Pelodiscus sinensis: one gene and its partner. The protein of the gene in region 1 purifies or fractionates together with the protein of each later gene. This does not show direct contact. Links are inferred from orthologs where the notes say so. Each region holds a gene or a part of one and is shown on either strand. Other genes may lie near its edges.

Region 1 (7,431 bases):
ATATCCTTCACTATTTTTTATTTATTTATTTATTTATTACAGGCTGCTTTTTATTTGTTTCCAGTTTCACAGAATCTTAAATATCCCTTTTGAGGAAGGAGGCAAAACACGATCAAGTTGTTAAATAATATTTGTTTATGAAGACTGTATAGATTCAGTATAACATTTAGCGCAGGTCAAAAGTATGTTTTAATGCTGCCTTAACTGGCATTAAAAATAAGTGTAAAATTGTAGACATATTTACAAACTACTGTTTTCTATGTAATAATCTGTAAAATATACTTTTTTCTTGATCTTATTATTTGTATTAATTTAATAGAAAGCAGCAGCCTTGGTTTTCAGCCCCACACATTCACTCTTTACAAGCACTGCCAGTTCATATATACATTAGCTAAAGTAACTGTACATTTTATTGGATTCCTATTGCATAATGCAAAGAAGCCTTGATTTTTATTTTTTTAAAGAGATCCAAAATCTTTTAAAGTTGTTTTATTAAAATCCCTTGGTTGCTTTTTTACCATTTCCCAGAAGTGATCACGGTTGCAATTAAATTATTCCAAACAATTATTTGCTTCTGTTAGTTAGCAACACAGCCAAAAAACAGAAAATACTAAAATGGAAGTCAGTCTGTCAAAAGACTGCCAAGAAAGTTAGATAGCATTGTTTCACCTGTCTGGCTTAAACACCCATTAAATTTTAGTACACAGCCACCATGAGTACCTACTCATTATGTGACACAAAACCACCACTAAAATTCATCTTGTGCATTGTATATGCAATTATATTTGTTCCTGTAGAACTCATTCCTGGACAACTAGAATTTTTTTCTTCAACTGATGATGTCTGACTGGTTGATTTCACCAGCTATTGTTTGCAACATTACAAGCTGTTAACATGAAAGCAATTCTGAGGTCATCAACATTAAAATATGGGGTTACTAAATCAATAAGGATCAAGAAAGGACTCTCTTAAGAATAGCTACAGCTACAGACCTCAGTGATCAGCAACGAGATAAGAAAATGCAGAAAGCATAACATGAATTTCTGCTTAGTAAAAGAACAAGATTAACAGTGCTCAGCCAATGATATGAAAATTTTATAAAAGAAGTTTACAGAACATCAAACCTGGTCGTTTGCTCAGACTATATTACTAAAAGAATGTGGAAATACCTAAAAATGCCAATTTGTGTCATCTTATGCCTATCCAGCACCTAGAACACTTCCAATGGTCAGTTAAAGCATGCATGAGATCTTGTTATCTACATTATTTTTATCACTGAAAGAAAATTAGCCATACTGCCTCAGGCCAATGGTACATCTACTCCAGCATCCTGTCTTTCAACAGTAGACAGTGCCAGATGCTTCACACAGAATGAAGCAAACAAGATAATTATTGAGAGTAGCACATAGAAGTCCCATTCATGGACAAGATCCCATTGTGCTAGGCACTGTACAAACACAAAACAAGGATAGCTGTGCATCATTACATTTCTATCTAATAGGTAACAATGGTTAGTGCAGGCAAAGTAGTACACAAAATATTAAACTTGATCACCAATTCTAATCTATCCCAGATATTAATTTAAAAAACATTTTTCCCCTAAAGTTATCTTAACATAATTCTACTAATATTTTGTGACTGCTCTTACTATTTCTATAAAGAATCCCTCTCACTGTCCCACAGCTAACTTTCCGGCAACCTAAGTTTAGTGCAATAAACATTTAGTAAATCAACTATAGAACCCAGGTTTCAAGTTACACAGAGTTTGCAAAATTATTTACTGCACTGAACAATTCACAAAAGGCCTATTGCTTCTGCTGAGAGATATAAATCAATTCAGTAAATGCTTACTCACTGAAATAAAACACACATTCTCAAATATAAGGAGTAAAAATAATTCCCAAATATTTTATATATATATATATATATATATATATATATATATATATACACACACACACACTAGCCACTTTAAAAACACAGTATTAATTACAAAATATATTTGATTAAAATAGACCTACATGCTAAGCTACAAATTCTTTGCCTTCTAAGACAAACCCCTTTACATATTTGGTAATCAATTTAACCAAGTGATTCAAAAATACTGGGTTGCAGAGGATGTTTATCATCATCTGTACTCAAAGTTAAAAAAACAAGATGCTGCATCTCAGGAAGAGCTCCATGAACAAAAAGGGGACAATGACTACATGCTGAATGTCATCTTGTTTAAAAAAAAAGTGTGTGTTTAATTGCCCACATAATCCACACTGATCAGTGATTATTTGTAAAAATAATTAATAACCTGCTTGTCCAATCTTCCCCACCGCACAAAAAAAATCTCAGGCCCTTTTCAATGGCTTTCCAAACGAGATCCTGGATGGGGGGGGGTCCATATTTTCGGGAGGGGCGTGGCTTGTTTGTTGAATGACAGGTCGAGGTTATTCTGAGGAACAATGAAGAGGAGGGGGCGGATTTGGGGGCCAGCGGGCAGGAGCTGGACTGGGGGAGGGAGCCCCGCGCGTGGGCCCGAAGGTCTCGCGGCAGGAAAGGGGGGGGGCTCCCTGGGCCCAGCCCCGCTCACCCAGCAGCCGGCGGGGGGGGGGGGGGGGGGATGATCCCGATCTCGCACCTTCCACGCAGCCCGGGCGGATTCAAATGTCACCTTCGCTCAGGGTGGGGGGCGGGGGGAGCCCCCCCGCAAGGCCCGAGCCCGCTCCCCCTCCCCCGGCCGCGGCGGGGCCTACTCCTGGCTCAGCGTGGGACCAGAGGCCCGCCCCGCCGCTCTCCTGCCCGGCCGGGGGGGGCACTCTGGGGTGGGGGAGGGGAGGTTCCGGCGGGGGGGGGGGGGCACTCACCATCAGCTCGATGGTCTTGTCCTCGATCACTGAGTCGGGCTCCATCGCGGCGGGCGGCTCCGCGCCCCTCCCCCCCGCGCCTGCCTCCCGCCCGGCCGCAGCGCGGAACCGAACCCCGCCTGGCTCCGACCTCGGGCCGCCGCCGCCAGCTGCTCCCGCCCCCCGCCCGCCGGACGCACGCAGGCTCGCGGTGCCCGCCGCGCGCCCGGAACAGGAAGCGCCGCCAACGCCCCCCCGCTTCCCACCTCGCCTCCGCAGGGCCTACGACTCCCGGCAGGCTCCGCGGCGCCTTCGCCGCACGGCGCGGAGAGGACTGCAAAGCCCAGCAGGCCAGGCGCCAGGAACGGCCCTCGGAGTGCATGCTGGGAGATGGAGTCTTGTGAAGGGAGAGCCCCAGGCTGAGTGGGGCTGGCGGGCCACTGAGGCCCAGGCCAATGGCACCTTCCCATCCCACCTGCCAGCAAGGCCCCCCGCCCAGGGCAGGCCTGGCGCACCCACACGCCCTCCCGCCCTGGCCTGGGGCGAGAGACCGGCAGGGTGCTGGGCCCCACGGCGCGTCCCACCGAGACCGGCCAGACTCTGAGCCCCACGGCACGTCCCACCGAGACCAGCAGGACGCTGAGCCCCACGGCGCGTCCCACAGAGACCGGCAGGACGCCGGGCCCCACGGCGCGTCCCACAGAGACCGGCCAGACTCTGAGCCCCACGGCGTGTCCCACCGAGACCCGCAGGACACCGGGCCCCACGGCGTGTCCCACCGAGACCAGCAGGACGCCGGGCCCCACGGCGCGTCCCACCGAGACCAGCAGGACACCGGGCCCCAGGGCACGTCCCACCGAGACCCGCAGGACGCCGAGCCCCACGGCGTGTCCCACCGAGACCCGCAGGACACCGGGCCCCACGGCGCGTCCCACCGAGACCGGCAGGACGCCGGGCCCCACGGCGTGTCCCACCGAGACCGGCAGGACGCCGGGCCCCACGGCGTGTCCCACCGAGACCAGCAGGACGCCGGGCCCCACGGCGTGTCCCACCGAGACCGGCAGGACGCCGGGCCCCACGGCGTGTCCCACCGAGACCGGCAGGACGCCGGGCCCCACGGCGTGTCCCACCGAGACCGGCAGGACGCCGGGCCCCACGGCGTGTCCCACCGAGACCCGCAGGACAGAAAAGATCATCAGCGCTCTCAGAGATATAAGGCCCTTATGATTGCACACGGTTTAATATTCTAGTATTTCATTCAGAACTGTGGTATATTTGTCTGAATCCCAGTTTCCCTGTTTTTGTATTTGGGGCAGCGATGAAGAATGAAGAGTTTACTGTGGTCTGAAAGCAGCTTTAGGCCAGCTAGGAAAGTCCCTAAAACAAAGGAGTGATTTTAGATGCCATTTCTTCCTACTTAAAGCCCCTTTGCATTGCCAGAGGGATGAAAAGCAGCCTTTGGACCCATTATCCCTAATTGTTGAATTTACTTACCATTTCCGTATCTTTTGACCACATAGAGTTTATTAATTGTAACATTCCTGGCATTGCTTTTTTGTGATTCTAGCACTATCTTCCTTGCAATCCTTTTAGGCAAGGATTTTGACTAATATTCATCTTAATGGCACAACTGAATGTTCTCTGTTCTATCCAAAATGACAGTTGAAACAATACAACAGAGCTTTACATCCAGATTCTTTAAAGACGTAAGCACATTCCAGTGCAGCTAGACAATATTAAGATATGAGATTAAAAAAATTGAGGTTTCTGCCAGCTCCATCTGTACATATGGTAAAGGGATGTTACTTGTCTTTTATATCCCTTTAAAAATCAATTTCACTTTTTGTTTATAGTGAGTTTCACTTTCAGTTTCTCAAGTGTACTATTTGCTTATTTAAAGTCAATTGTTTTTTTACCATGGAAAATAACTAAAGCCTATGGTGAGAGAGAAAGCAGTGACAGAATATATAAGGAAACAATACTACTACACAATAGTTGCTAGTAGTAGCCAAGCTTTGAAACCTTTATAAGTGACAATCAATGAAAACTATACAGAAATATTTATGAGTCAGGAATGAAGGTCTAAAAGCTATGAATAGTTAATGTGGTCTACCTTATAGATCCACATTGTGATGGGAAATGTCCTTTAAATCTATTATAGGTATGGAAAGCATGTCCTATTTTGTTTGTTTTTATATTCATCCCCTGAGTATGTATTCAAGTATTGCATAGTTTTACAGAGCGAGTAGTGATTGAGGATGGAGACAGTCTGCATAAAATGTGTTATTCTTGCAAGTAGTAGGTTTCCAGATGTCACATATGTGCTCACATTAGAAATCCACTCTCAAACTAAGGAAAAGTTTTTTCACCAGGGCTACGTCTACACTGGCACGTTCTCACGCAAAAACTCTTTTGCGGAAGAGTTCTTCTGCAAAAATTCTTCCAGAAGAGAGCGTCTACACTGGCATGCGCTTTTGCGGAAGAGATGTGCTTTTGCGCAAGAGCATCCATGCCAGTGTAGAAGCTCTCTTGCGCAAGAAAGCTCTGATGGCCATTTTAACCATAGGGCTTTCTTGTGCAAGAAATTCATGTTGCCTGTCTACACTGGCCTCTTCTGGAAGAGCTCTTGCGCAAAAGGGCTTCTTCCTGAGCGGGAGCATCAGAGTTCTGGTGCAAGAAGCCCTGATTTTACACATTAGAACGTCAGTTTACTTGCACAAGAACATGTGGCCAGTGTAGACAGGCAGCAAGTTTTTGCGCAAGAGCATCCGCTTTTGCGCGAGATCGCGCCAGTGTAGACACAGACCAGGAGCGCAAACTTGTTCCTATCATCATTTTCATACCTGTTGCAGTATTATCAATACTGGCATCCTACCAACAGTGAGTGAAATTCATCTGTGTGCAGAGGGCTAGCACAGGGCCTATGGATCGCCTAAACACCACTTAAGCCCTCAAAATCAGGTTTAATTTAGACTAAGATATATTGCTGGCCTCTGACTAGGGATGAATTTCCTCCACAACGCTGTAGTGGTAATGAATGAGATCTCTCATTTCTATGCTAAGTTTCGAACCTGGCCCTAGAAATCTATTGGCATAAGATTTTATAAAAGATTATTTTTACAAAATGTAATGGGGGTGTGTGTCACATTTAAGTTCTCAACATTCTTTTAACCTTTTTAACCTTTATTGCTTCGTTAGTAATAGTGCTTTTCCTTCAGTTCATGCCATAATTCAGAAGTCGAAACAAAAACAAAAAATTTCCTAAAACCTCTCTCATTTAAAAAAACAAAACAATTCTACTTTTGGTTGGCTAGTGGCAAGTAGGGGTGTGAAAGACTAGTCGATTAGTCGCTTCCTTCCCCCTTGCTGCCTCTATCAGAAAGAGGTAGCAAGGGGGGGAGGGAGAGGGTACTTCAAAGCAGCAGTGCCGCTCAGACCCTGGACTCCACGCGGTGCTGCCGCTTTGAAATGCCACATGCAGCCTGGGGCCAGCTGGGGTGTCCCCAGGCTGAATGCGGCATTTCAAAGCAGCAGTGTAGCATGGAGCCCAGGATCAGCTGGGGACTTCCCACTGACCCCGGGCTCTGTACAGTACTGCCACTTTGAAACGCCATGGGGAGCCCAGCATTAGTCTGCATGCAGTGTTTCAAAAAGGCAGCACTGCGTGAAGCCCAGGATCAGCTGGAGATCCCGGGCTCCATGCAGCGCTGCCACTTTGAAATGCTACGAGGAGCCTGATGCTGGGCTCCCCATGGTGTTTCAAAGCAGCAGCGCCGCACAGAGCTTCGGGTCAGTGGGGGAGTCCCCAGCTGACCCCAGGCTCTTCTGTTGCTATACTTCAAAGACGGAGGCGCCCTATCGACTAATCGAATAGTCGATGCAAAATGCATCGACTATTTGATTAGTCAATTAGTCAATATTTAACAACCCTAGTGGCAACATGTGACAGATGATTCCCCATAAACTGAACGACATACAGTGATAAAGCCCAAGTTTTACTATAGTAATATACAGGCTGGTATGTATGTATAGTACTGCCTTCTCCTGGATGGAGTTAGAAATGCTTGCTTCTGTCAAACTTTAGATTGCTGAAAGCTAATAGATTGCTTCTTCAAATTGTAGCAACCTATGCATTTGGAGGAGGAAATTCTGAATTATATCCTTTGTCATGAAATTCCCAGTCCCCATAGCTTTCAAAGTCCTAAATACATTAATTGATTACACTTTTGTCAGAATTGAGATGAACCATGAAATGCCTGGAAAAACTTAAAAAACAACAAACAGTCTTGCACCACCTTAAAGACTAACAAAACCTGTAGACGGTATCATGAGTTGCAAGACTATTTGCTGCTTTTTAAATTTTCCCAGTTACAGACTAACTCAGCTACCCCTCTGAAACTTATGAAAGGCCTGTTCTTTAAGACAAAAGGTCTGATTAGGGTAGCAGGAGTGAATTGTCTGCGTGTATGCCAGTGCCCTCTGCTGGATGAAATGAGGCATGCTTAAATGTGTGTCTTATTTTGCTAACATCCAGTGAAGAGTCTCCTTCAGCTCAAGTGACAGTAGTCTGGTCTTTTGGAGCAGCTATATCTAAATT
Region 2 (7,709 bases), on another chromosome or scaffold:
GCCCCAGGATGTCACTGGTGCACATCCTCCCTCATATCTGTAGCCGCCTTTGGCTGACTGGTTTAATTTGTGAAATATTCGGTGTCCAGTACAGTTTTTAAGCTCCAAACCAGCATGCATTTTGGACACAATGCAAACAACAGGACCCTGTGATACATGTCCAAGGCCCTGCTTAGTATGGAACAGTGACTAAATCAATCAATTCATCACACACCAGTATAACCAATCTGGCCAAATGTGGGACACATGCAGAGAGAAACTGAGGGACACATGAAAATAAGTCAGAAAGCTGTGCCCGTGAAAGCTCATGAAACCATCTAAATGTTTTGTTAGTCTATAAAGTGCTACCAGACCATTTGTTGTTTTTTAAGTTTATCCTGTACAGACTAACTCGGCTACCCCCTAAAGAACCTTAAAATGGTGGGTCATTAATTTCCCCAGCAGTAAACTAAATTTTGTGATGCTGCATCTTTATATGAATTAATACAAGAATACAGTTGTTCACAGCAAACTCACATGGAGGAGGGGGGAGAATACATTTTGAGCAGTAAAGAGTGATAGTCCTTCATAATGCTGGGATGCTTGAAAGACAAAACTTAAAACAATCACTAGTATAGCAGGAGTAGTGAAAGACAGATCCATCTCCACCAAAATGAGATGATGAACTGCAAGGACTGTCATGCTGCCACTCAGGGCCCCAGTGATTTATATGGGAGACTCTTCAGAATGGAGAGGCCTCGCATAGGTGCTGAGCTGTGGATCAAGGTAAATGGGTATCGAAATATAATTACCAAGTGGTTCGGCAGGCCACACAAATGCCCACAGTGGAAAAAAGGGAAAGCACACACGTACTGTGGTATACTAGAACCTCAGATTTACAGGCAACTCAGGAATGGAGGTAGTTCATAATGCTGAAATGTCGGTAACTCTGAACAAAACATTATGGTGGTTCTTTCAAAAAAGTTTACAACCTAATGTTGACTTAATACAGCTTTGACACTTTACTATGCAGAAAAAATGCTGCTTTTTTTTTCTCTGCAATTTACATTAAACACGGTACTATATGGTATTGGGGGGGTTGTTGTTGTTTTTGTGGTCTTTGCTGCTGTCTGATTGTGTACTTGCAGTTCTAACTGAAGTGTGTAGCCAGGGGAAAAGCAATTGCCAGGACTTATTAGTATACCAGGTATATTAGTATACCAGTAGCCCAGTGGCAATTTGAATGGCCTAGGGTCCCCAGCCACGCCTCAATTACTGCAATGGGGCAGCTGGGAGTCCTGGGCCCTTTTAAATAGCCAGGTCCTGAGGTAGCTGCCCCTTTTGCTCCCCTCACTCTCTGGCAGGGACACTGATGAGGAGAGCAGAAGGGGCAGTGACATTAAAGCGTTGCGATGGTAAGGAGGGTCCTTAAAGTGTTACTGCGTCAGCACTTAAACTTCGACCGTGTATGGGCCAGTGCCAGCGACCACTTCTTACCGGTATGCAGTATCGGCCCCCCTTCACTTCTATGCGTGGTTGACTGATCAGTTCCTAACCCTGAGGTTCTATCATAGGCACTAAGGGGGAAGAAGGGGAGCAGCCTCAGGGAAGAGAGAGGAGTTAAGGGAAAGAAGGCCCCAATTTTGGAAATGGGAAAGAAGCATAGGTGTTAGCCCCTGGTCACTGTCGGAGAGAGGAAGAAGAGAGAAGCAGTATTGAGAAAGGGGAAGCAGACCCCACTCAGCATTCAGGGAGGAGAAAAGAGTTGGGGGGGGGGGGAGTGAAAAGCACATCCCCCAGTGGCCTAGGGTGTAATGCACTGAGAAATTCTTAGAGATTAATCCCCACGGCTGCTGGGGGACACACTGTCAGGGGGCAGCCCCCAGGCACTGCCCAGGATGGAGCACATGATGCTGTGGAAGGTGTTGGAAGGGCAGCCCCTGGTTGCTGGGGGGGGGGGGGGGACCCACATGGTGTTAGGGGAGATGTCAGGTGCAGCCCTCAGCCACTGCCGGGAGTGGGGGGGAGCACGACGCTGGGGGGGGGAGGGCGAGTGTTCGGGGGCAGCCCTCAGCCACTGCCCAGGAGGGAGCACGTGGCACGGTGGCAGTGTTGGGGAGCCCTCAGCCCGGCGATCTCGGGGCCACCCTTGGCCAGGGGGAGGGGCGCACGGCGCTGGGGGGGGGTCGGGGGCAGCCCCCAGGCCCTGCCGGGAGCGGAGGGGGGAGCACGGCGCTGGGGGGGGGCAGCCCCCAACCCCTTCCGGGAGCGGAGGGGGGAGCACGGCGCTGGGGGGGGCAGCCCCCAACCCCTTCCGGGAGCTGGAGGGGGGAGCACGGCGCTGGGGGGGGGGCAGCCCCCAGCCCCTGCCGGGAGCGAGGGGGGGAGCACGGCGCTGGGGGGGGGGTCGGGAGCAGCCCCCAGCCCCTGCCGGGAGCTGGAGGGGGGAGCACGGCGCTGGGGGGGGTCGGGAGCAGCCCCCAGCCCCTGCCGGGAGCGGAGGGGGGAGCACGGCGCTGGGGGGGGTCGGGAGCAGCCCCCAGCCCCTGCCGGGAGCGGAGGGGGGAGCACGGCGCTGGGCGGGGGGGGGGCGGAGGCAGCCCCCAGCCCCTGCCCAGGAGGGAGCACGTGGCGCGGTGGCAGTGTTGGGGAGCCCTCAGCCCGGCGATCTCGGGGCCACCCTTGGCCGGGGGGGGGGGCGCACGGCGCTGAGGGGAGACGCCGCCCGCAGCCCCTGGGCGGGGCGGAGCCCCCCGGGGAGCCCCCAGCCCCGCCGCCGCCCGGGAGCCCGCGCAATGGGCGCCGCGCGCTCGGCTCCCCACAAGGCGCGCACGTGGCCCAGCCCGGCGCCCCCCTCCCGGCGCCCCCCTCACCTTCCTCCGGGTCGTCCTCGGGGTCGGCCGGCCGGGGCAGGGGGTTGAGCAGCTGCTCCAGCTGCAGCGCTAGGGGCGCCGCCATCTTCCCTGCCCGCCGCGCCGGGGGCTCGAGCAGGCCGCGCTTCCGGGGGGGGAGTGAGCGGCTCCGCCTGACGTGGGGCGGGGAGGGTCAGCGCGCGTGGGGGTAACTGGGGTGCAGGGGCGGGGAGTGCGGGCGAGGGGGCGTGGTTTTCAAGGGGGTGGGGGGAGCACTCGGGGGTGGAGCAGGGGGGTGATCACTAAGGGGGGTGGAGGGGGCTAAGGGGGGGATGGGGTCACGGGGTTATAAAGGGGGATGGGGAATCACTAAGGGGGTGGAGGGGGCTAAGGGGGGGATGGGGTCATAAAGGGGGATGGGGAATCACTAAGGGGGTCGAGGGGGTATAAAGGGGGATGAGGAATAACTAAGGGGGTCGAGGGGGATGGGGAATCACTAAGGGGGTCGAGGGGGTATAAATGGGGATGAGGAATCACTAAGGGGGTCGAGGGGGTATAAAGGGGGATGAGGAATAACTAAGGGGGTGGAGGGGGATGGGGAATCACTAAGGGGGTCGAGGGGGTATAAATGGGGATGAGGAATCACTAAGGGGGTCGAGGGGGTATAAAGGGGGATGAGGAATAACTAAGGGGGTGGAGGGGGATGGGGAATCACTAAGGGGGTCGAGGGGGTATAAAGGGGGATGAGGAATCACTAAGGGGGTCGAGGGGGTATAAAGGGGGATGAGAAATAACTAAGGGGGTGGAGGGGCATATAAAGGGGGTGAGGAAATCACTAGGGAGGGGGGAATCACAGGGGGCATAAAGGGGGATGGGGGAATCACTAAGGGGGTTGGAGTGGGTGGGTATAAGGGGATATCAGGATGAGGTGGGGGTGTGCTTATTAAGACTGCTTACCCTCCAGGGTCAGGACTGTCCTGGAGGCTCCAAGAATTAAAAAATTAATCTCTCATTGAAGATTTTTGTCCTGTGCTGAAGGCCCCTGGGAATATGACCAACAAAAATTGGTAACCCTAGTGGTTATGGAGAGGGGGAGGATGGGTTCAGATGAAGCGATGGGGGAGTGGGTAAAAGGTGGGGGAAGAAGGCCAGGGATATAAAGGGAGGTGCAGGGGGGAGAGGGGATTAAGGAGAGGACAAGTGGGTATACAGCTGGTTCCCCGAGTTACAAAAGCATCGACTTACAACCATTTGTATTTACGACCAACCTCCTATACAGCCGGAACCCGAGTTACGAACAAAATCCGCACTTACGAACAGCGCGGCCGTAATGTAAGTGAATGTAATCCGACTTACGAACAGATGGACTTACGACCTAGTGTTTGGTACGTAACTCGTTCATAAGTCGGGGACTGGCTGTATAAGGGGAGCTGAAGAGAGGTTGTGAGGGAAGGCTAAGTGGGTGGGACTTTTGTATGGATAAGTGGGGTGAAGCAGGGCCTGTGGTACGTGACACTGTGTGTTGCGGTGAGGTAAAGGAGGATCAGTGTGAGTGCTAATGCGGGAGAGGAGGATGTGTGGGTGCAGGTGTGGGAATGTATGATTATCTAAGCATGTATGTAAACCTATGTAAGGAGTATGTTTTATTTATAAAACCAGAAAAACCTACAACCCTTTTCCCCCGGAACACACTCATTATCCTTATTTAGGTCATGTACCCCTCACATAGATTTTGTTTTTCAAAAAAAATTATATGTTATCTAACTAAATTTTATGGTAAATAGGGTTCTACCTTTTGTGTGGGCACAAGTGTGTTCTTGTGCAATGAGCCAGATTCTCATCTTGGGTAAAGTCTCATTGTGTCAATGGAGCTATGACAATTTACATTAGCTGAGGATGTGGCCCAACTGAATTAACACTTTGAAGTACAGAAGGAACTTGCAGCAGCCACTCTTACTAAAACCAGTTATTTATTACAAAAAATCTTGCTTTTTCCATTTGGAATTTGAACTTGAGGTCAGTCCCTGTTAATTCAATAATTATGTCCTAGGCTAGTACTGTAGCCCATTCCACAACCCTTATTCATACATCAGTCCCGTGGAGTAAAATTATCCAAGAGTTACAGAATAAGGTCCCATGTTTGAAATCAACACCTTGGCCTTTGACCTTTGAGGTCACGTGCTGGAGAATATGGTTACTATCTAATAAACTGGAACACCTGTTCTGTATAATTATACATAAATGGCATAAGCACACAAAAACTGGGAGATTCTGAGCGAGTCCTAGCTCTGACTCACACTTGCCATGTCAATGAGATTTTGGTTTTTTGCTTCTCCCTCATATGCGGCCCCTGACTGACTTTTCTGTGGGTGGACGACCCCTGACCCAAAAAAGTTCCTCACCCCCATGTCTTATATATGATCATAAACATTTAAAATACTTAATAAAATAAACACCACACTTTCATTTTATTTTTGTAAAAAAAGCTGCTTAATATATGATATAGTGTAAATTATTTTCTCACTTTGTGTATTAAATATTTCAAGGTAATTTTTTTCTTTGTTTTAATATACTTCCTTCCCTGTCTCGCACAAGGATGTGCATAGGCAGACCTTTACAAAACCTCAGACCAAAATTCCAGATCAGGATCTAAACTTCATGTATATAATGATTCACCTTAAAACCCCAAATGTGAAAAACATAGAAGACTGAAATCTGATTCTCCCCAAATTTCAGTTTATTTACATTCAGTGTTTGGATTCAGCCCCTTAAGATGGTAGGTTCGAGTTACAAATGCCAATCCAAAACCAGATTCACATCTAGCTAAGAGAAATTCAGCATGATACTCCCTCATACACTCCTTCCATTCAACAAAACCTCTCCCCACTGCCATTAAATGCTATAAAAATTAATCCAGACATGTTTTCTAATTAGAATGCAAGCAGCAACCAAGGTGTCATGCATTTGTTGCTCTACTCCAGGATCTAGTATTCCCCCTGAAGCAGAAGAATTCAGTGCAGCCAGTTGTCCTACAGAGGGCAGAGGAATATCATTAATTACCATTTTCTTCAGTAGCCGAGGCTGCTTACTGCTCAGCTAACTTCCAATGAGGGCTTTGGAAAACCCTATAAAACACCATGAGGAGAGACTAATCCCAAAATCCTATGTGATTGGGAGAAGCTCCCAGACAAGTTCCCAGAGATAGTCTCCCTGCAAGGTGTTTGTTTCGTATTATATACAAAGAACAGCATATAAAACTAATATAATATTATATTGGTATTATATATATAAACTTTCATTACAATGCACGTGTTTATTATATATCAGGCCCTGGATTTTACACAGTGTAGAGTTGAAATACTTTTTAGCTGGGGAAACAATAGAAAAACAAAAGGATGTATATTTTGTGTTGTAAATTACATTTTGAGGCTATGAAAAGGTGGCTATAAAACTCTACATTGGTTGTTGTTGTTTTTTTTTTATTTGCTTTTACTGTAGCATACAATGAGGGTTCCTTACCATATTTGTTTTTTAAACGCAATATTATGAAATTGTGGACACACAGAGTTTGAATTCTGTGGTTGTTCATTCTGGACTCTATTTTTTAAGGTTTAACAGGCATTTTGATTCTAGAATACAAGCTCACATTATTAATGGAGGAACATGTATATATTTAATATAGAGAAATAATAAATATAGGTACTTGTAAATACTCTGCTATCCAAAGGTATGCTACCAATATCCACCTATCTGAAAGAAGAGAGGGTTTTTAGTGATGGTTACATAAAATGCTCCTAATGTATTATTTTATCCACAGAGAACATCCCATGAGCCAAATGTTGTGTGATTTACACTAGTCCCATTGGGTTAAATCCTGGCCCCACTGAAATCAATGGGATTGTTGTCATTGAATTCAGTGGGGCCAGGATTTCACCCATTGAGATTAATAGCTCTATTGTTCTGTATAAAGTCCCTCATCCAACCAGGCATTTCAGCTCATGTATACCTTCACATAGATGGGTAATCTTATTGAAGCCAACAGGCTTAATTCTTTGATGTCCTGCCCCTCATGTCAGCATTTACACTAAAGCAAAGTGGGTGTAAAACATTACAAAATCAGACTGGTAGCTTTGCCCTCACTTTGCATTGGTATGAATGGCAGCATAATATACAGAACAATGGAGAATCAAACCCACTGGGACTATTCACATCCTTAAAGTTGTTCACATTTTGAGAGATGTGTTGGGCTAGCTTCAGAATATGTGGAGGTTAGTCATTGGTAAAGGTACTCCAATAAGATAAACACAAACCAAACAAAAAATCCCTACTCCTAACACACCATGGAGTGTTAAAATATTGCAGAAATCCAATTTCCTTCTTCCATTTTATTCTGTTTGTTTCCTTTTTTGCATTTCACTCAGCTTGGATAATTAAAACAGACAGAGACAGACTAGTCTGTTTCAGTTTCTGGATCATATGCCCTAAAGCAATGCTACTGCTACTGCTACTGTTTAGATTCATAATCATGCAAAACAATGTTTGTATAATAAATAAATCATAATAATAAAAATATTTTTTCATTTAATTTTTAACACACTCCTGAAAGCATTTATATTCAGACTTGGTATTGTAAAGTCTTCTTTCTGTTTACAAACTGGAAATATGAATCCCCAAACTAGTTAACACAGTTCCTTTAATGTTACTGTAGATCTTAATGCTTATTTGCTAAAATAAAAACATTGATTTAAACGTGTCACAGATGTACAAGTGTGCTCCTGGAAGACTACAGTAAAAACATCATCTTCTCATTTCCCTCATTCATATTTCCCCTTGTTCTATGAAACCTTTGGATGGCTTTTTGGCATTTGAGAGACTCTG

The links. The genes of interacting proteins can lie anywhere in the genome.
Region 2: the proteins of FBXW11 (region 1) and AATF purify together in Homo sapiens (affinity purification with mass spectrometry; 3 studies listed by BioGRID and IntAct, with this or other methods). This does not show direct contact. The link is inferred for Pelodiscus sinensis from reciprocal best matches to the Homo sapiens genes FBXW11 and AATF.

The regions. Positions count from the first base shown.
Region 1 is NC_134727.1:4,105,254-4,112,684, reverse strand, and holds the start of FBXW11 (F-box/WD repeat-containing protein 11), read right to left. Parts: upstream 3,012-7,431; 5' UTR 2,901-3,011; coding exon 2,856-2,900; intron 1-2,855.
Region 2 is NC_134731.1:8,441,393-8,449,101, reverse strand, and holds the start of AATF (protein AATF), read right to left. Parts: upstream 3,009-7,709; 5' UTR 2,938-3,008; coding exon 2,853-2,937; intron 1-2,852. UniProt on the Homo sapiens protein: Part of the small subunit (SSU) processome, first precursor of the small eukaryotic ribosomal subunit.